Linked DNA regions of Macaca fascicularis. The protein of the gene in region 4 purifies or fractionates together with the protein of the main gene of each other region. This does not show direct contact. Links are inferred from orthologs where the notes say so. Each region holds a gene or a part of one and is shown on either strand. Other genes may lie near its edges.

Evidence for each region.
Region 1: the proteins of KPNB1 (region 4) and NUSAP1 purify together in Homo sapiens (affinity purification with mass spectrometry; 3 studies listed by BioGRID and IntAct, counting the BioPlex papers as one, with this or other methods). This does not show direct contact. The link is inferred for Macaca fascicularis from reciprocal best matches to the Homo sapiens genes KPNB1 and NUSAP1.
Region 2: the proteins of KPNB1 (region 4) and DLGAP5 purify together in Homo sapiens (affinity purification with mass spectrometry; 4 studies listed by BioGRID and IntAct, with this or other methods). This does not show direct contact. The link is inferred for Macaca fascicularis from reciprocal best matches to the Homo sapiens genes KPNB1 and DLGAP5.
Region 3: the proteins of KPNB1 (region 4) and RANGAP1 purify together in Homo sapiens (affinity purification with mass spectrometry; 3 studies listed by BioGRID and IntAct, with this or other methods). This does not show direct contact. The link is inferred for Macaca fascicularis from reciprocal best matches to the Homo sapiens genes KPNB1 and RANGAP1.

Annotation. Positions count from the first base shown.
Region 1 is NC_088381.1:17,906,749-17,911,990, forward strand, and holds part of NUSAP1 (nucleolar and spindle-associated protein 1), read left to right. Parts: intron 1-1,186; coding exon 1,187-1,294; intron 1,295-3,278; coding exon 3,279-3,388; intron 3,389-5,242. UniProt on the Homo sapiens protein: Microtubule-associated protein with the capacity to bundle and stabilize microtubules. May associate with chromosomes and promote the organization of mitotic spindle microtubules around them.
Region 2 is NC_088381.1:123,008,338-123,012,774, forward strand, and holds the end of DLGAP5 (disks large-associated protein 5), read right to left. Parts: intron 3,717-4,437; coding exon 3,670-3,716; intron 1,620-3,669; coding exon of another isoform or gene 1,529-1,619; intron 1,408-1,528; coding exon 1,288-1,407; 3' UTR 1,075-1,287; downstream 1-1,074. UniProt on the Homo sapiens protein: Potential cell cycle regulator that may play a role in carcinogenesis of cancer cells. Mitotic phosphoprotein regulated by the ubiquitin-proteasome pathway.
Region 3 is NC_088384.1:10,359,672-10,364,913, reverse strand, and holds part of RANGAP1 (ran GTPase-activating protein 1), read right to left. Parts: intron 3,671-5,242; coding exon 3,551-3,670; intron 2,033-3,550; coding exon 1,930-2,032; exon of another isoform or gene 1,757-1,929; intron 761-1,756; coding exon 672-760; intron 394-671; coding exon 272-393; intron 1-271. UniProt on the Homo sapiens protein: GTPase activator for RAN. Converts cytoplasmic GTP-bound RAN to GDP-bound RAN, which is essential for RAN-mediated nuclear import and export. Mediates dissociation of cargo from nuclear export complexes containing XPO1, RAN and RANBP2 after nuclear export.
Region 4 is NC_088390.1:59,087,777-59,093,485, forward strand, and holds the start of KPNB1 (importin subunit beta-1), read right to left. Parts: upstream 3,959-5,709; 5' UTR 3,619-3,958; coding exon 3,579-3,618; intron 3,478-3,578; coding exon 3,419-3,477; intron 1,178-3,418; coding exon 995-1,177; intron 1-994.

The DNA.
Region 1 (5,242 bases), on a different chromosome or scaffold from region 4:
CATCCTGGCGAACACCGTGAAACCCCGTCTCTACTAAAAAAATACAAAAAAAAACTAGCCGGGCAAGGTGGCGGGCGCCTGTAGTCCCAGCTACTCGGGAGGCTGAGGCAGGAGAATGGCGTAAACCTGGGAGGCGGAGCTTGCAGTGAGCTGAGATCCGGCCACTGCACTCCAGCCCGGGCTACAGAGCGAGACTCCGTCTCAAAACAAAACAAAACAAAACAGAGATGGGGTCTCGCTGTGCTGCCCAGGCTCGTCTCAAACTCCTGTGCCCAAGCCATCTGCCCATCTCAGCCTCCCAAAGTGCTGGGATTACAGGCATGAGCCACTGCACCTGGCCAACTTTCTGTATTTTTATTTTATGTATTTATTTTTTTTGAGACAGAGTCTTGCTTTGTTTCCAGGCTGGAGTGCAATGGTGCAGTCTCGGCTCACTGCAACCTCCGCCTCCCGTTTTCAAGCAATTCTCCTGCCTCAGCTTCCCGAGTAGCTGGGATCACAGGCACACCCCACCTCGCCCAGCTAATTTTTGTATTTTTAGTAGAGACGGGGTTTCACCATGTTGGCCAGGATGGTCTCGATCTCTTGGACTCATGATCCACCTGCCTCAGCCTCTCAACGTGCTGGGATTACAGGTGTGAGCCACTGGGCTCCACAGGCGTCAGAAAATTTCTGAATGCCTACTTGAAGCATATGAACTGTAATCGTAGGAATGCTGTAACTAATTCTTTGTGCTCCTTATGTGCTATTTCTACAACCACCTTGGCAGAGCCTACCATGTGAAAATGCTCTGTTAACTTACACATATTTCTTTTTCCTTTCTTTTTTTTTTTTTTTTTTTAAAGAGATGGAGTCTCACTCTATTGCCCAGGCTGGAGTGCAGTGGTGCGATCTTGGCTCACTGCAAGCTCCGCTTCCCGGGTTCATGCCATTCTCCTACCTCAACCTCCGAAGTTGCTGGAACTACAGGCACCCGCCACTACGCCCGGCCAACTTTTTGTATTTTTAGTAGAGACGGGATTTCACCATGTTAGCCAGGATGGTCTCAATCTCCTGACCTCGCAATCCGTCCGCCTAGACCTCCCAAAGTGCTGGGATTACAGGCGTGAGCCACCATGCCCGGTCACATATTTCTTAATGAGAACTTTTTTGATATCCTTCATTATTTCTGTGTCTTTGGATTTAGGTAACAAAGATTCAAAGGTACCTTCAAAAAGAAAGAAATCTGTCTACACGGATGAGTCATCCAAACGTGGAAAAAATAAAAGAACTGCAATCACTACTCCTACTCCAAGTAAGTTTTGTAGGCAAAGCCATAATAAGTAATGGTTGCCCCACTTCAAACTGATGTTGGACTGGAACAGCTAAAAGCATAGAGGCTGGAACCAGTTTACATTCTAGTTCTCTCATCTTTTAGGCTTAAGATCTTGGGGAAATTACTCATCTTCAATAAACTCACTTCCTCAGTGTAAAGTGGAAATAGTTATACTATAGTACCTATTTCTTTTTTTTTTTCTTTTTTTTTTTTTGAGACAGGGTCTTGCTCTCTCGCCTAGGCTAGAGTGCAGTGGCGTGATCTTGGCTCACTGCAACCTCTGCCTCCCAGGTTCAAGTGATTCTCCTGCCTCAGCCTCCCGAGTAGCTGGGACTACAGGTGTGCTCCACCACGACCAGCTGATTTTTGTATTTTCAGAAGAGACGGGGCTTCACCATGTTGGCCAGCATGGTCTCGATCTCTTGACCTCGTGATCTGCCTGCCTCAGCCTCCCAAAGTGCTGAGATTCCAGGTGTGAGCCACCCTGCCTGGCCTATAGTACCTATTTCATCAGGTTGATAGATACATAAATTGAGAATACTTTTTCCACTACTGCTTCCCTATCATGGCAAATAGCATGCAGCAAGGATTCAATAAACATCTGATGAATGAATGTACGAAGTACTTGGTACAATGCCCACCTTCTAATAAGTTTTTCATAAGTCTAAATGACTCTGTTTTTGGACATGTAATTCTTCTTCTCTCTTGTATTGTTGGAACATTGCTTGGCACATAGAATGTTGATTATTATATTTATAGTAGTTACAATGCTGCTCATCTTATATTCAAAATTCAGTAAATGTTCATATACTTAATCAGAACAGGATACAGCAGGGGTCAGCAAACTGCTGCCTCCCTTGGCCTGTCTTATATCCTTTGAGCTAATAATGGTTTTTATATTTTTTAAAGAATTTAAAAACAAGAAGAATGGCCAGGCATGGTTCTCACACCTGTAATCCCAGCACGTTGGGAGGTGCAGGGGGGTGGATCACCTGAAGTCGGGAGTTTGAGAACAGACTGGCCAGCATGGTAAAACCCCGTCTCTACTAAAAATACAAAAAAATTAGCTGGATATGGTGGCAAGTGCCTTTAACCCCAGCTACTCAGAAAACTGAGGCAGGAGAATCGCTTGAACCCAGGAGGCGGAGGTTGCAGTAAGCCAAGATCACGCCATTGCACTCTAGCCTGGGTAACAGAGCAAGACTCCATCTCAAAAAAAATAAATAAAAACAAGAAGAATATGAGACAGAGACCATATCACATGTTGCCATAAGGCCTAAAATACTTTTTTTGTTTGTTTTCTTTTTGTTTTTGAGATGAAGGTTTGCTCTTATTGCCCAGGCTGGATACCTCCCGGGTTCAAGCGATTCTCCTGCTTCAGTGTCCTGAGTAGCTGGGATTACAGGCATGTGCCACCACACCCGGCTAATTTTTGTATTTTTAGTAGACAGGGTTTCTCCATGTTGTTCAGGCTGGTCTCGAGCTCCCGACCTCAGGTGATCTGCCCACCTTGGCCTCCCAAAGTTCTGGAATTACAGTTGGGAGCCACCATGCCCAGCCAAGCCTTAAATACTTTTATCTAGCCCTTTATAGAATAAGTTTATCAGTCGTTGACATACAGCATTATAAAATATCAAATTCATGATTAAATAAAGACCACTTGTGACTAATTGGTAAGGGAGAAGATAAATCTTCTACTGTCATCCTCTGGACTAAACCAAGATGTCAATTTAGTGAAATTTGTCAATGAGGAGATGGTGAATGTTTGATAGTTTATAAGACGAATGTGCTTTGCCCCTGAGTTTCCAAAAACTAAGTATTTTGAAATTAATGTTTTAGCAAAAATTATATTGAAGTTGAATATCAGGGATGCAAAAAAGAGAATAAGTGTTAACGGAAAAACACAGAGAAGGTAAATGGATTTTGTTTTGTTACTAACTTTTATATTGGGGGAACATTCTAGACTTTAAGAAGCTTCATGAAGCTCATTTTAAGGAAATGGAGTCCATCGATCAATATATTGAGAGAAAAAAGAAACATTTTGAAGAACGCAATTCCATGAATGATCTGAAGGTATGTAGATAAAATTATGTTCTTAATGGGACTAAACTGTTTGATTATAATTTTGAAACTATATAACACCATGGTTACAACAACTGGCTATCACTCTACCAGTAGATTTGTTTGAGTTTAATATATCTTTATCTGGCCGGGCGCGGTGGCTCAAGCCTGTAATCCCAGCACTTTGGGAGGCCGAGGCGGGCGGATCACAAGGTCAGGAGATCGAGACCACAGTGAAACCCCGTCTCTACTAAAAATACAAAAAATTAGCCGGGCGCGGTGGCGGGCGCCTGTAGTCCCAGCTACTCAGGAGGCTGAGGCAGGAGAATGGCGGGAACCCGGGAGGCGGAGCTTGCAGTGAGCCGAGATCGCGCCACTGCACTCCAGCCTGGGCAACAGCGTGAGACTCCGTCTCAAAAAAAAAATATATATATATATATATCTTTATCTAAAACTTGCTTTCCCCTACTCTGAGAATTTTCAAAATCCTCTGGATAAAACTGAATCCATGGCCAAGCGCAGTGTCTCATGCCTGCAATCCTAGCATTTTGGGAGGCCAAGGCAGGTGGATTACCTCAGATCAGGAGTTCAAGGCCAGCCTGGCCAACATGGTGAAACCCTGTCTCTACAAAAAAATACAAAAAATTAGCAGGGGTTGGCACACGCCTGTAATCCCAGCTACTCAGGAGGCTGAGGCAGGAGAATCACTTGAACCAGGAGGCCAAGGTTACAGTGAGCCAAGATCATGCCACTGTGCTCCAGCCTGGGTGACAGAGTGAGACTCCGTCTGAAAAAACAGAAAACAGTGAATCCTGACTATGAGAAACTATTTCCAAAATGGCAATGTCATTCTACTTTCCATATTCAGATGTTTTGCCTATTACTTTCATTGAGGATGAACCAACTTATGGCTGAAGCCGTCTTCTTTCCCTTGTCCCTTATGTAAAGAAAAATGGGTGATTAATAGTGGCAAAGCTGAAGGGTTCCTGTGGTAACAGCTCCCTCTAGGGCTTTCAGTCCAGGTCCCACAGGACTCAAAGCCTCCTCAAAGTAAGAGAAGGTGATAAAGTCAACTCTGAGACTGAGTTAGCAGAGTAGTGAGTTAATAACATTCTAGCAAGTTGATGTTATTGGTATCTGGTGTTAAGGCAGTGCCAAAGGGAGGGCAAGAAACACATTTTAAAATATTGATTGATTTATGTATTTTTCTTATAAAGTCAGGGTCTCCCTGTGATGCCCAGGCTCTCCTTGAATGCCTAGGCTCAAGTGATCCTCCCACCTCAGCCTCCCAAAGTGCTGGGATTACAGGTGTGAGCCACCAGATTATATTTATTTCTATTCGCTGTATTTAATTCTTAACCCCATGTTTATGTTACATAACTTCCCTATTTCTTAAAAATAATTTAAGGCCTATTCTCAAAATAATTTAAGTTTATGGTATTAAATATAAAATAGTATAGTCAATTTAAAAGCACTGTTAGTGGGTACAGTATTGATTACCATCAGTCTCTCAGCTGAGTTTAAGTTTTCTGGCAGCTAGGGCCAAGAGGAAAACTCACTGGGTGATAAGTTGTAAATAATTTTATTTAAGTACCTAAGCTTCTTGGTGAGAAGCTTCATTGAAATAATAAACATTCATTTTAACAATGTAAAACCACTGTTACAATTTTTTTTTCTTTTTTTTTTTGAGACAGAGTTTTGCTCTTGTTGCCCAGGCTGGAGGGCAATGGTACGGTCTCAGCTCACTGCAACCACTTCTGCCTTCCTAATTCAAGCGATTCTCCTGCCTTAGCCTCCCCAGTAGCTGAGATTACGGGCACCCGCCACCACACCCAGCTAATTTTTATATTTTTAGTAGAGATGGGA
Region 2 (4,437 bases), on a different chromosome or scaffold from region 4:
TCTAGACTCCAATAGCCAAGCACGTTATCTAGTAGGGGACACTGATGGTTGCCTACCCAATATCTATTCCTTGTTTCCTAAGAGCCAAGGTTTTATTCAGGTGTGATCCCAGATTCAACAGGGAATTCTGATTCATTTAAGTCAATCCCCTGCTGGCTTACTGATCTGCAGATGGGGATGTGGCATTAGTTGGTCTAATCAGGCCAAAGGGAAGAACATAACTCTAACTGCCAATAGCAGCCATCTTATGACCCCAAAAAGACCCAGCCGTAGAGGAGAAGCCGACATCAAGGATAACAGAATGAACTAGGAACAGAAAGTTGGACCTTGATGTGATCACTGAGCTATTGATTATAAAGTACCTGGAATCACTTTGATAACTTGTGAAATAATAAATTTCCTTACTGTTAAGCCAGTTCGAGTCCATTCCTTGTTTGAGTAATTCAAACAAGCCATGTAGGAAAAAGAAATATACATAAACTAGGGTTTTCTAATGGCCCAGGGCCATGAACAGCTGAAAGCTTTCTAAACAACTCAGTGATACATCTTATTAAAGATCACATTTACTGACATTGTCTTATTCTGATCTGCTTTATTTTTGAGAGCAAAATATTGTTGTGTCACATATTGCTTTGTATTAACTGTAAATCTTGGGTTTCTTTGTACCAGTTTTTTAAATGTTCATATGACTGATATGTTATATGATTGACACGATTTTTTTCAAAAGTAAAAAGCATCTCCTCAATGTCTCTTGGGCATGCCAATGGGAAAATGAAAACAAAAAGGCAAGGACTTAATGGGTACCTCTAATGATTGAACTGTTTGAAACCGCAGCATGTCAAACTGACTTCGGAATCCAGAAAGCTCATGTAAAGAAACTCAGAATACTATGGAAAAATGTAATACCCAAAGCTGTTCAATGTCAACAAATTTAGGATTTCAAACTAAGAATAAAGTGTAAAAAGATGCAAATACTTCTGTCACAGGTTAATATTTCAATTAAACTAAAGAATGTTTATAAGCGCTAAGTATACTTAGCCTTAAGCTTATTCCTTTCAAACAAGAGAGGCAAGGCACAGTATATTTTTTATTCTGTGTTGAAAATGTACAAAATATCCCCACTTCCCTTGAGAAAGAGTATATCTAAAATACACTTTGATAAACAGAGTATTAAAACATTATATGATACTATAGAAGTGAACACAAATACATTTTCTCCAAAATTTCAATAGTCTAAAGAATATATAAGCATTGATAATGTGAAGGAAAATGGATTTATTTTTAAATTCAAAATTCTCCTTGTAGAGGTGAAAAAGTAATCAAGTTACCACCAAAAGAAATGTGTCTGGCATGCTCTTGATGTCTCCTCTCCAGCTGAGTAAATGGATTACTGCACTGTAGACCTGGCTGGAGAACAAATCCAGAGAAGTCAGTAAAGTATCCATCACGAGTTTCACCAAGTAATTCTTTAACATTGCTATAGTAAATTAATAAATAACATAAATAAACCGGGTGCGGTGGTGCACACCTGTAGTCCCAGCTACTCGGGAGGCTGAGGTGGTAGGATCACTTGAACCCAGGACTTCAAGACCAGCCCGAGCAACATAGCAAGATCCCATCTCAAAAACAAACAAAAAGAAACATGTAAATATTTTCCCTATATAACAATAAAATTATAAACAACGATTATGCTACTTTCTAGCAGATCTTATTTCAAATGTATATTAGTTATTTTTAAATTGGAAAGGTATATTCAGAATATATGTATAAAATGTGAATAATATGTAAATGGACTCAACCAGTGTATGCAGAATGAATAAAACTGAGGCCATATCTTAAGCCACTTACACAGATTCCATAAATCCTAAACCATATAATAGCACTTAATAGCCCTTTTACTACTGTGTGATCCTGCTGAGATCTTTTTACTCCCTCAAGCCCTGCTTCAAGTTCAAATTATGCTACTGGGGCAAGCAATAATTTGGGTCTAAAATAGACATCTAAATATTAATATTTACAGAAGTGAAAAAAATCAGACTAAATGATAAGGTACTAAGATCTATCAATGAGAAAACATAATTGTGATGTACTTTTAATCACATTACTAATATATTAAAATATTATGATTTGGTAATCTCTGGATTTACTTATAACAACATATATTCTCAGAATCAATCATTCAGAGTTTGATCTGGGAACAGGGTTAAATCAGGTTTACATAAGTTGGCCTTATTCTAAAAGCCCTGATCCTCTAGGTCTCAGTGTATGATTAAAGAAGGCTAAAACCAAGAAAGAATGGTATGCGGGTCACAGTAACACATTTTATTCTGCTCCTGAGACACAGGACAGCCCAGGGCCTGACCACAAAAAAGGCAGCTTTGAAAAATAATGAAAGCCAAGATACACAAGGGTCTTTAAGGAATTCATGGCTTATGGAAGCTAAGTATTTGCCAGGTTTCATGAAGTTAACAAAAACTGTGGTTGTTTGATCCTATATTTGCTTTATGAATGAATTTCTTACATTCTGAGATTAAAGAAGAATAAAACCAAGGCCATTTTCTGATCTACTGTAGTAGTTAGTCCTGGAAAATTCCAAGGTAAGGCTGTAAACCAGAGGTGTAAACCATAAGAATCACTGATGAAGAAAAAAATGACAAATCCCTACTCCAGATCTTTGAAATAAAAATATCGGCCAGGCACGGTGGCTCACCTGAGGTCAAGAGTTCAAGACAAGCCTGGCCAACATGGTGAAACCCCGCATCTCTACTAAAAAATACAAAAATTAGCCAGGCACGGTAGCAGACACCTGTAATCCCAGCTACTCGGGAGGCTGAGGCAGGAGAACTGCTTGAACCCGGGAGGCAGAGGTTGCAGTGAGCCAAGATCACACCATTGCACTCCAGCCTGGGTGCAAGAGTGAAACTGTCTGCAAACAACAAAACAAAAAAACGTCTGGGATGGGGCTGAAACCAATGCTATATATAAACAGCAGGAAAGAGAGCACTTTTAATTCGTGCCATATCAAAGGTATGAATCGGACAGCTCTACTTAATGTGGAATTTACAGTTAATAAGGAATTAGATTCCTGAAGTTATATTTTTGGAATGCATTCATATTATACCCTGAATAAGAGATGAAATGTAAACACTGTATGCCTATGTGCATCTGTAGCTATATATAAATTAACATGGGAGAGATAAGAGCTTTTACAGAATGCTTCACAAAAGGGCTGTCTGAACTAGATTTAGAGGCAAGAGGTCACCAGAAGTAAAAGCAGGGAAGTAGTCACTTAAAATAGCAGGACATAAATAACCAATGACGACTGAAGGTGGGATAGACATGATTTCCCCAGAAGGGCAGAAACTGCCTTATATTTTTCTTGAATCACCTAGAAATATATTCAGACATTCAAGTATCCAGTTTATCAGAGCAAATTTGATAGAAAAACCACATAGAGAAACATATCTTCAGGGTTTAATATTAAAACATATTACATTTTAAAGTATATAAACACCAAATTTTTTCTTCATTCTGTGAAAAATAGTGAGTGAGCAAAACAATGACAAGATATACATTTTAGGCCTTGTACACAAATAGAAAAGCAATATTCATTTTATAAAACAAATCTAGAGTATAAAGGGACTTGTCAAATTAAGTTGGAAAACTTACCGAATCAAGAAGGTGGCATTCAGTAGTGAGACTTTTATCAAATAGTACTGAAAAACAACAAAAAAAATTAACTTTTTAAAGAATATTCTCACGTTCGAGGGTCTTAGAAATGGACAAAACCTTGAAAAATATGAAAAGTTCCACATATCAAATGCTAAGACAAAAATATAGACCATCTTATGCTATACTTTTTGAAAGTAGTTAAATTTCTTGGTTAAATTCTTATCCTTAACTTTGGTATAAAAGGAGTCTTCTGTAAACAAATCTCATACTTGTAATATTAAAAGTACCCAGAAGATGCTGATGAAGAACAGCTGGAAGACATTAAATGTCTGGCCAAGGTTATAACCTTTTGTTTTACCATAGGCCCCAGTTAGATCAGCTACAGAGTAACTGATGAAGATAGCAGGTGGAACTGGCACACATTATAACAAAAATACAGGAGCCATTTCCTATTGCAGAACCATCACAACAATATAGGTAGAACTAGGCAGTAGGGAAGAAAAATAGGATATTTTGAAGAAAGACTTGGGGATATGTGTTGAAAAGAAGGAGAACTGAAAAAAAGCCCAGCCTGACCAATGTGGTGAAACTCTGTCTCTACTAAAAATACAAAAATTAGCCAGGTGCAGTGGCACGTGGGGAGGCTGAGGCAGGAGAATTGCTTCAACCTAGGAGGCGGAGGTTACAGTGAGCTGAGATCACGCGACTGCATTCCAGGTCTGGGCGACAAAGTGAGATTTTGTCTCAAAAAAAAAAAAGCTTGAG
Region 3 (5,242 bases), on a different chromosome or scaffold from region 4:
CTCATCGGCAAAATGGGGGCGTTACATGTCTCCTCTCTCACTGCCCCTGAGCCCTACTGTCCTCAGCTAGGCAGAGGGGAGCGGGCCTCCCGAGGGTGGTGAGACTCCAACACAGATGCTGAGAGCCCAGGAAGCATGAGGGCCTCTTGTGCACCCGAGCAGGGCCAGCAGGCTGGCTGGGCTGGACCTCCTGGGACTGGAGGCCTTTGGACCTGGCCAGAGAAGCCTGAGAGGACAGGCCGCGGCAGAAGGACAACAGGGCCACACTCACTTGGTTATGAATGCCAGCAGCAGGGGTGCAAGGGCCTTGGGGAAATAGTCCTGCTGCACCATGTGGTTCAGTGCCATCAGGGGGCCGTACAGGTTGGCAATGGCCTTGACCTTATCTTCACTCTGTGAGGGGAACACAGCGAAAGGCGGGGTGAGCGTCAAGTTCACCTGGGCGGCCCCTGGACTCCACCATCCAGACTCTGCGGGCGGTGCTCACAACTGAGTCCAGCCGGAACCTCATCATGAAGATCGAGGCTGCTGGGGCGGACCCAGGCCTCAGGGCCCAGTGGGTGAGACGGCTCAGGACTCGAGGTGAGGGAGGCTGGCAGGCATGGCTGGGGCAGCTTCTGTGCAGACCTCGCCCACCTCCCTCCCGCGCCTGCTGCTCCTTCCGGCCTCACCTTGAGTAGACCCATGTGTGCGAGGAGCCTGGTGAGGAAGGCGCTGGAGTTGAAGGACGAGGAGCTGAAAGCCTTCTTCATCAGGGCATCTGTAGGGCAGAAGTAGCAGGGGCAGGCTGCTGGCTACGGCAGAGCGCTGTGCCAAGGCACCCAAGGCTCCCCCCACACCGCGCACACACAGGCTCGCCTGCCTCCTTGCCCTGACGAAGAGGCGAACACAAGAGGGATGGCAGAGACACAGGAACCAGAGGGAGGGGCAGTTGGCATCAGGGGATGGGCTCAGTCCATCTACCAGCTGTGACACTCTGGCCCTTCCCCATCCTGGCCTCAGGTGTAACATGGGTGTGGGGATGACAGCCACTGTGCCCACCTCACACCGTGGGAGTGGAGATTTCCTGAGGCAGGCCACCACTGGGGGAGGATTCAGGTTATTTTGGTGGGGTGGGTGGAGGGGATGTGAGGGGACTGTGCTAGGCTTCCTGGGCAACAGAACTAGGGCAACTTGTTCCCATAAATGCCCCCGGGCAGGCCCTCAGGGAGCAGGCTTGTGTCTGGCCCCACCTCCTTCCAAGCCTCCCTTCCCACTGAGCTGCCCTCCCCACTTTAACGCCACCCACAGTAGAGGCCAGGAAGAGGCACCACATGTCCTTCCACCCCTTTCTATCCTTTTCCAGGAGCCGCGCCCCTTGCCTCAGGGCCCTTCCTCCCCTCTGCCTCAGTCAAGCACAGGGTGGAAGGTGACAGGTGCTGGAATGGAGGAAACAGACAGGGTGGGGACAGGGTTGCCATAGGGCAGGAGGGACGTGGGCTGGTGCTCCGAGAAGGCCCCATAATGTTACAGGGAAAGGTGTCCTCTGTGCAGGGAAGCTCCAGGTAGAATGGACATGAGCACAGAGGCTCTGAGGTACGCACAAGGGCTCAGCTCTCAGCATCCCTCCTCCCGACAGACCTGCGTCCATCGGGCTTGCGGATGTGACTATCTGGCCTTCCTAGAGCGGGCTCTGGGTTCTAACTCTATATGGCTGTGTGGATTTGAGAAAGGCCTCAGTTTCTCAGTGGTGAAAAACAGGGAGACGAGCACCCACCTGGCTCCACGGCAGGACCATGGCAGGACCCTGATGGAGGAGCAGCACAGGGTCTCAAAGAGCAGTTCCCATGACAGCACTGGGGCTGACGAGTGACGGCGACCACAAAGGGCCCGGGGCCTCACGAGCATCAAGGGCCAGCGGGCACCCCGGCCTCACCCAGCCCACATTACCTACTGCATCCTGCACTGCCGTCCTCACAGTAGCTTCGTCCTTGAACACAGATGACACCTTTAGGAAGGCAGAGACCACCTTCTCGGGGTCAGACGTGTCAGTCTGAGGACATAAGAGACAATGGTTGGCCTGTGGCACATGGGGGAGATGTCCCTGGGCTCTGCCACTAGCTAGGAGAGGCCCAGGCAGTACACCAGCCCCTGGCAGGCAAGGACAGGTCCTGCCTTACCCCATGCTGTCCCTTCAGAGTCTGGCTTGGACTTGGCCTGCAGCAAGCAAATATGCAGCATAGAGAGGGAATGAATGAGTGAATGAACAAGGATGAAAAATCATCCCAGCCAGGTGCAGTGGCTCATGCCTGTAACCCCAGCACTTTGGGAGGCTGAGGTGGGAGAATGGCTTGAGGCCAAAAGTTTGAGACCAGCCTGGGCAACATAGCAAGACCCCATGTCAACAAAAAGGAAAAAAACTAGCCAAGGGTGGTGGTGTGTGCCTATAGTCTCAGCTACTTGGGAGGCTGAGGCAGGAGGACTGCTTGAGCTCAGGAGGTTGAGGTTGCAATGAGCCACGACTGCACCACTGGACTCCAGCCAGAGTGACAAAGCAAAACAGTGTCTCACACACACAAAAAGATCATTTCAGGGACCCAGTGGTCCCCATCTTGAAGAAATAATCTAGGATGTAGATGATACTCACATGCAGAGAAGTTTACCTCAACCTCACTGACAACAGGGAAAAGTGGGCCAGGGAAAACGTCCAGAAATAGTGCCTGGATTTTAAGTGCTACATCCATGCATTGGAATAAAAATCATGAGAAGAGTTTTAGGGGCCCAAGAAAGTGATGAATGGTGTTAAGCCAAAGTGATAGGCCACAAAAAGGCTTACATCATCTTATTTATCATGTTAAAAGAAACAAAGAACACAGGCAAAACCTAACAAAGCAATTGGCCGAAATGTTAAGCCAACGCTGAGAGTGCGCCCATTTTATTTCTCTATACCTCCGAGCCTCTGTTTTCTTATCTGTAAAATAAGGGCAGCAAAGTCTACATTTCAAGTTGTCAAGAGGGTTAAATAAAATCATGCCCAAATACAGTACCTGACAGAAAATGGATGCCCCAAAGATCACCTCTGAATGAATGAATGAGCCAGCCAACAAGTTAGGCTGGAGTGAGGGCGCCATCCTGCAACAGGCACGCCACTCCCAGAGGGGCCCCGGGCAACAGAGCTATTCTCACCCATCCTGCAATAGGCACGCCACTCCCAGAGGGGCCCCGGGCAACAGAGCTGTTCTCCAAGCAGCTGGGCTGACAGAACATGCAGAGAGAAGCCCAGGAGGGGGTGGGCACATGCAAGAGTCCTGAGGAAATTCCCTAACCCCAGTCAGCATGGGAACTGGCGGGCTGCACTTTCTGTAGGCCGAGTGAGGAGGGAACATTTGCAACCCCTGGAGGCTTATAAATACCCTGGACATTTGTGTGTGTTCTAACAGTGGCAGGCCAAGCCTCCCTGCCCCCAGCTGACAGTGTCGCACCCCCAGGTCCCTGAGCTGTTCGTCCCTTTTCTCTAACAGCTCCAGAAGCCACGGCAAGTACAGGGTGGGGGGCAAGGTGTGGTTATTACCTGCTGGGCTATCAACATGGAGCTCTTGGGCCCCAGGCGCAGCAGCTTCTCTGGAGAGGGAAAAGCCAGGAAGGTGGAGACGTCTGCAGGAGGTGGGGAGGACAGCACGGGAGCTGGCTCCTGCGAAGTGGAGGCACAGAGGCTCTGGAGAATTCCGGACCCCAGACTCCCCACCCAGCTGTGCCCATCCCCACACCCAGCACATCCATCCTTCACTCCAGCCCATCTAGGCTCAAAGTCTAGAATTCCTCCTCCCACTCAGCTGCATTTCCCATCTATCAACATCACCTAGAGATGCTGGCCCTGGATGGCTCTTGCTCCAGGAGCCTTTGGGGTCAGGGGGAAGCCACCTCCCTGAGACTCATAAATACGACCAAGTGGATCCTCATCACGACACGCAGTGCCCCAGCAACGACCACAGAGGCACATGGGGGCCAAAGTGGGTCCCCGGAGAACTCCAGTCCAGCCTGGGTAAACCCTGCTAGCACCAGAGGTGCCCAGAGAAAAACCCGAATTGAGGCGCACCTAGCCATTTGTTTAACTGCTTCCGTAAACCAGAGAAGCAGCCCAATTCAGCGTAAGTGTGGGGAGTCCTTGTCCAAAGCCAAGTTCTCCAGGAGCTTTACTTAGGAACCTGACAAGGAATGCAAATGAATGAACTGGAGGTGTGGCAGCCCTGATGCCACCAGCCCCAGGCCAGACACCAAGTGCCCAAGCCAAGTCACGGCCCAGCCACCATCCCAGGAATGGGGGAGCAGTTCCTAAGGGTCACCAAGACAATCTTCTGGTGGGTGGGAAAAAAAAAATTAGAATTTCCATTCATGCTTATTTGTTTATTCTTTCAGAAATCCTTACGCATATCTTATAATATACGTAATGCAGCAGCACTGCTACTTATAAATAGACATTTATATTGGAATAAATAGAAATATAGGTAATTATGGCCAGGCGCAGTGGCTCAACACCTGTAATCCCAGCACTTTGGGAGGTTGAGGCGGATGGATCACCTGAGGTCAGGAGTAAAACAAAGACCAGCCTAGCCAACACGGCGAAACCCTGGCTCTACTAAAGATACAAAAATTGGCCAGATGAGGCTGGGCGCAGTGGCTCACACCTGTAATCCCAGCACTTTGGGAGGCCGAGGCAGGCGGATCACGAGGTCAGATCAAGACCATCCTGGCTAACATGGTGAAACCCCAAGTCTACTAAAAATATAAAAAATTAGCTGGGCATGGTGGCGGGCACCTGTAGTCCCAGCTACTCAGGAGGCTGAGGCAGGAGAATGGTGTGAACCTGGGAGGCAGAACTTGCAGTGAGCCGAGATCACGCCACTGCACTCCAGCCTGGGCGACAAAGCGAGACGCTGTCTCAAAAAAAACATTGGCCAGGCGGCAAGCACCTGTAATCCCAGCTATTTGGGAGGCTGAGGCATGAGAATCGCTAGAACCCAGGAGGCAGAGGTTGCAGTGAGCTGAGATCACACCACTGCACTCTAGCCTGGGTGACAAGTGAGACTCCGCCTCAAAAAAAAAAAAAGAAAAAAAGAAAGAAATATAGGTAACTATCATTACACTGAACCATTTTCTTTTTTTTACTCAATATCATGCAATAAAAAAAAAAATGTTTGTGGCTACTGTGCTTAAGGAGACACCCCCTACCCCATTGTGAAAGCACCTCAGGATTTCACGTTCT
Region 4 (5,709 bases):
CAAGCTCCGCCTCCCGGGTTCCCGCCATTCTCCTGCCTCAGCCTCCTGAGTAGCTGGGACTACAGGCGCCCGCCACCACGCCCGGCTAATTTTTTGTATTTTTAGTAGAGACGGGGTTTCACTGTGGTCTCAATCTCCTGACCTTGTGATCCGCCCGCCTCGGCCTCCCAAAGTGCTGGGATTACAGGCTTGAGCCACCGCGCCCGGCCAAAGATTGAGATTTAAACAGCAGAAGTTCAACAAGAGCCAGGTGCTGGTTGACTGGATAATCACTTGGGGAGACAGTTTAAAAAACATCCCTTGGCCAGGCGCAGTGGCTCACGCCTGTAATCCCAGCACTTTGGGAGGCCGAGGTAGATGGATCATGAGGTCAGGAGTTCAAGACCACTCTAGCCAAGATGGTGAACCCCCGTCTCTACTAAAAATACAAAAATTAGCTGGGCGTGGTGACGGGTGCCTGTAATCCCAGCTACTTGGGAGGCTGAGGCAGATAACATCTTGAACCCGGGAGGCAGAGGTTGCAGTGAGCCAAGATCATGCCATTGCACTCCAGCCTGGGCAACAGAGCAAGACTCCGTCTCCAAAAAAAACCAAAAAAGTGCCTGAGCTGTACTCCAGAAGTACCAAATCGGAGTTTCTGGAGAGCTGGGAAATACGTATTAACAAATTCCCTAAGTGATGTGGGTATACAGCACCAATTTATACACTACTCCCATTTGTCAAACAGATTTTTACAAATTATGACACACAATTAAAGTTTCCCAAGCTGCTGCAGCCTACCTCAATCATCTAAAAAGAATTCCAATCCATCAATGGGAATGGACAAGCTGTGTTGAGAAAGATTTAAGACAAAGACAATTTTTATCTTTAGGTGAAGTTCAAGTCCCAGAAACCTATCACACTGTCAGCTCTATCCCATGCAAATAGCAAAAGATCTGAGAAAGCAATTTCTTGTTCTCTAGGTAATATAACCAAACAGATGAGTGTTACTCACATAGTTCTTGACTTCTCGTCGAGCATTAGCATCAATAGCAAGCCACCTCTGCTGATATTGTGCCTTGATATCTGGATCTTTAGATGTCAAAGAGTTCTTGATTTGTAGACCAGCTGCAACTCTGGCAACCTGACTATTTCCTGGATTTGCCAGCACTCTGGACAGTTCCACAAGGAAAGTGGGCTGTTAAGGGAAGATAAATTTGTAAATAAAATTATCTTAGGAATTTCCACAACTGAGAATAATTTATGGAGCACTGAACCACCGGAGGAGGGGTGAGGTGGGGGGGGAACTAATGTCTAATTTTTTTTTGGTATATCATAAGCATCTCAGGAAACCACAAAATACCTACTACAAGACTTCTACAAAAATGTTACTTAGTATATAACAGGAAGTCTTCCACTTTTCTCATGGAGCCTAGCACTTAATGAGGAATTGCAGATTTTCCTATCAAAATCATTCCTAGTACCCAAATTGTCACGTTATACCCCCTGAATTGCAAGGTTTTAGAGTATGGTAGTAGTTAGTCTTCTGTGTATACTGAGGTGTCCCAAGAATTCTTAATAATGTCTGGTACTTGAATGAATGGCTGTTACGATGCGGGTAGAAAATAAAACTGTTTATCTAAATTTCAAAAACCTTGGTCCCAAAAGAATGATCCAAGTTTCCATCTCATGGCAGCAGCAGGGTAGCTTTTCATCCCATGGAAGGAGGTGATCTTTTATGAGAGAGGGAAATATAGATAAGCCTAAACAAACTTAGGAGCCTCATCCTCCGTTTTATTTGTGGGCACTCAGCAAAAAGGGAACAACGAAAAAAGCGGATTTACAAGGAAAATTGGTAAGATATTTAGAAATAGGGAAAAAGTGAAAGAAAAAAATGTTCAGGCAAGCTGTTCAAGAAAAATAACTTTGTATCTAATAATCAACAATTACTTGCTCCTATACATTTGGACTTTAGTTGAGGAATACAGTGGATCCCTGAAAAGCATGTTCTTTTGTAACCTTTTGTAATCCACAGGCCTCAAAAACTACTCCCTTTGTTTAAAAATTTAACACACACACCTCTCTCTCCAGCAAAAAAACCGTGCCCAAACAGCAAAGTTAGCAGGAAAAGCCAAAAGCAGATACATTTTTCTTACTGCTAACAAGTTCTGCAATCACAGCAGAAGATAATTCTTAAAAGTTTTATTAATTATGTACCACTAAAGAATGTTAAGAATGTTAGGAATAAGATAAAAAGCTTCTTGCAAAATTAGCAAAAGCAGAAACAGGAATAATACCCTAAATGGAATTATCAGCCTATACTAGTGGAAAAATCTATTCTAGGAAAGGATAAACAGGTTAGTTGTAAAAATTGGCACATATGAAGAACAAAAAAAAAATCATTCAAAGGCAGCCTGTATAAAATAAGCCTTGTCACTTTGTTGATGTTGACATTTTGCCTATATAACACAAAGAAACACATATGGTTACAATGTTATTCAGACTTATTTCCTATTACCTTTCTCAAAGATGTCAAGCATCATCCAATCCTTCCCTCTGACCCCATCTCCCAATAGGAGATGGACACCAAAGAGAAACTTAACTGGCATCTAGGCTGTTTCAACCAATCCATCCTACATTTTTATACAAAGGACCAGTCTCTAGCGGACTTAGCTTCATTTTCTCCGGACCCCTTAAATTTTAAAATATGAAAAACGAGTAACTTTCCTCTGTGATTTCATCAGGAAACAGGCCCGATCTCAAAGATGAGCCTCACACTGTTGTCTGGGTGCAGATCCCTAGTGATTAGGTTTCTATTCATCCAGGTCAGAAGGAAAGGGAAAAAAAAAAAAAGGAAGAAAAAGAAAATACCCCGAGAGGAATAACCGGGCAGAAGAGGGAAAAATATTAGTGGAAATGGGTTAAGAGGCAGTCGGGTGCCAGGCCTGGCCATGAGCACACACCAAGGTAGCGAGGAAAGGGCAGAGCTCTAGGAAATAGGTGGGGAGAGCCACAGGGGCCACGGGACAGGAAGGATAAGCCGGCCGGGGTCAAACAGGGAGGGCAACCGGGCCCAGAGCTTCCACATGGCCCCTAGGCCTGACTCCCCCACCCCCACCTCTGCTGAACACGCAGCGCCGCGCAACCTAACTTCCCTTCCCTCCCTCTTTCTCCCTCCCGCTGCACCGCCGCCCTCAGGCCGCGCAATGATTGGGCGACAGGCAGCCCGGCGCGCCCCGCCATTGGCCAGTCGCAGGGCCCGGGGCGGGACACACCCACCGGCTTCCCGATGGCGGGGTTAGGTTGGACCGGGTTGGGGGGGAGGGGGACGGGATGGGGCGGGGTAGGTTCCCGAGGCCTGGGCCTCCCGGAGGGCGGGAAGGCCCCGCACGCAGGGGATGGGGACGCGGCGGGATGGGCGCGGCGGGGTAGCACGCACCAGGTTCTCCACGGCCGCACGCTCCAGGAACTTCTGCGCCGCTTCCAGCTCCAGCCGATCTGGGGGGAGGAAAGTGGGAGACGGAGCGGGGTCAGAGGGGCCGGGCCTCCCCTCCCCCACCCCAATCACCTCAGCCCGACCCCCGGCTCCTGCGTCCTACCGGGAGACACGGTCTTCTCGAGGATGGTGATCAGCTCCATGGCGGAGGTGGCGGCGGCGGCGACTCCTCCTAAGACGACGGCCCGGCCTTTCGGGCGGCGGCTCGAACTGGGGATGGGGGTTGGGGGTCGGGTGGGAAGGGAGGGTGGGGTGGGGGGCGGGGGTCACCACAAGCCCATTCACCGGCTCTTTCTGGGTAGTCGCTCCAGCTCCCCTTAGTCTCTTCTTCTCTTACTTCCTCCCTCCGAATGGGCTGCTGGCAGCGGGGGAGGGACCCCGGGGGCAGCTCAGAGCGCGCTGGTGCTCGGAAGGCGGAGGGAGAAAGAAGGAAGAGAAGCTGTGAGTGAGAGGCGGCACGCAGGGAGGGAGCGAGGGCGGGAGGAAGGCGGAGGGATATTCGGGCCGGACCTCGCCGCGGCGGCGCCGCGCTCCACGGCGATTGGCCGCTGTTCTGGCCACGCGGAATCCCCAATTGGCCAGGCGCTCAGCGTCGAAAGGCCGCCTTTCGCCCATTCGCCTGCTGGTTTCAAGGCCCGGGGTGGCTGGGCGGGCAGGGGAATGGAGCGCCCTAATTGGCCGAGGGGAGGGAGATTGGGATGGGGCCGGAGAGAGCCCGCCGCTGATTGGGTTGGGCTTGGTAAAGGCCTTGAGCTCAGACCGGCTGAGCGCCGAGGAGGGTGGACCGAAGGCACGACTCGGAGCCTGCGCGATTGGCTGGGATAGTGGGCGTTGATAGGATAGGGTGCCTGGGAGAACTGGGGAGAGGAGTTCGGGGTCGGGGCGCGGGAAGGCGGGAGGCGCCCGGCTGCCCTCGGAGCCCGGCGCGGGGCACGATGGGACGCCCCCGGGAAGAGGCGGAGCTGGGTTCGACCGCTGGGGCTGCGGTTGGGTAAGCGCCGTCGCTCCGAGGGGCGTGTTGAGCGAGGCTTTCGCGGGCGTGAGCGGGGGAGGGGGGACCGTTGAAGTCCTGCGCCGCGCCCGCAGGAAGCTGCTTTAATGGCTAAGTCGGCTTGGTACCCTGCTCTTGGCTGGGACGGATCCGTAAGGCCATGTGGCTCCACTTGAAATGTGTAGATGTGGAAACTGAAGCCCAGAGAGGGTATGGAACTTGCCCAAAGTCACACAGCCGGTTAGCGGCTTGGTAAGGAATGGGTTCAGGAGCCTAGAGGGTATGGAACTTGTCCAAGGTCGTACAGCTGGTTAGTGGCTTGATAAGCTCAAGCTCTGCTGACTGCCGTTGTCCCTACAAGCAGCTTTCTCTCCAAGGAGTCCCCTAGGCCTGCTTATATAGGGCTTGAGACCTGTACTAAGTCTGACTTGCTTAGGGGTGAGCTAAGGGAATCCTACACTTAGACACCCCATCCTTGACAGAATGGAAATGCTTCACCCTGTAAAGGCTCAACCTCGAACCAGAAAGAATGTGTGTACAGGCATAAAGGATCGTGGTTCTTGACCTGTTTTAGTTCTGAACTCCTGAAGAAACTCATGAATGCCTTTTCTTAGCAAAATGCATATAAAGAAAATGTGGGCCGGATGCGGTGGCTGATGCCTGTAATCCCAGCACTTTGGGAGGCCGAGCGGGGCGGATCACGAGTCGGAGACCATCCTGGCCAACATGGTGAAACCCTGTCTCTACTAAAATACAAAAAAATAGCCCGGCGTGGTGGCGCATGCCTATAGTCCCAGCTACTCCTGAGGCCGAGGCAGGACGATCTCTTGAACCCTGGAGGCAGAGGTTGCAGTGAGCCGATATCGCGCTCCGTCTCAAAGAAAAGAAAAAAATGTGCATACAGTATCTTGACTTTCTTTGACATTGGTAAGTGGGCTGTAGGTTAAGAATTTCCTAGGCTGGGAGCAGTGGCACAGACCTGTAATCCCAGGACTTTGGGAGGATCGCTTGAGCCCAGGAGTTCAAGACTAAGCTGGACAACGTAACGAGATCCTGTAAAGATTTTTAAAATGATAAAGGAAAAGTGTAATAATGGGGCCGGGTGCAGTTGCTCATGCCTGTAATCCCAGCACTTTGGGAGGCCGAGGCGGGCGGACTTGAGGTCAGGAGTTCGAGACCAGTCTGGCCAACATGGTGAAACCCTGTCTCTACTACAAAATACAAAAAAAAAAAAAAAAAAAAG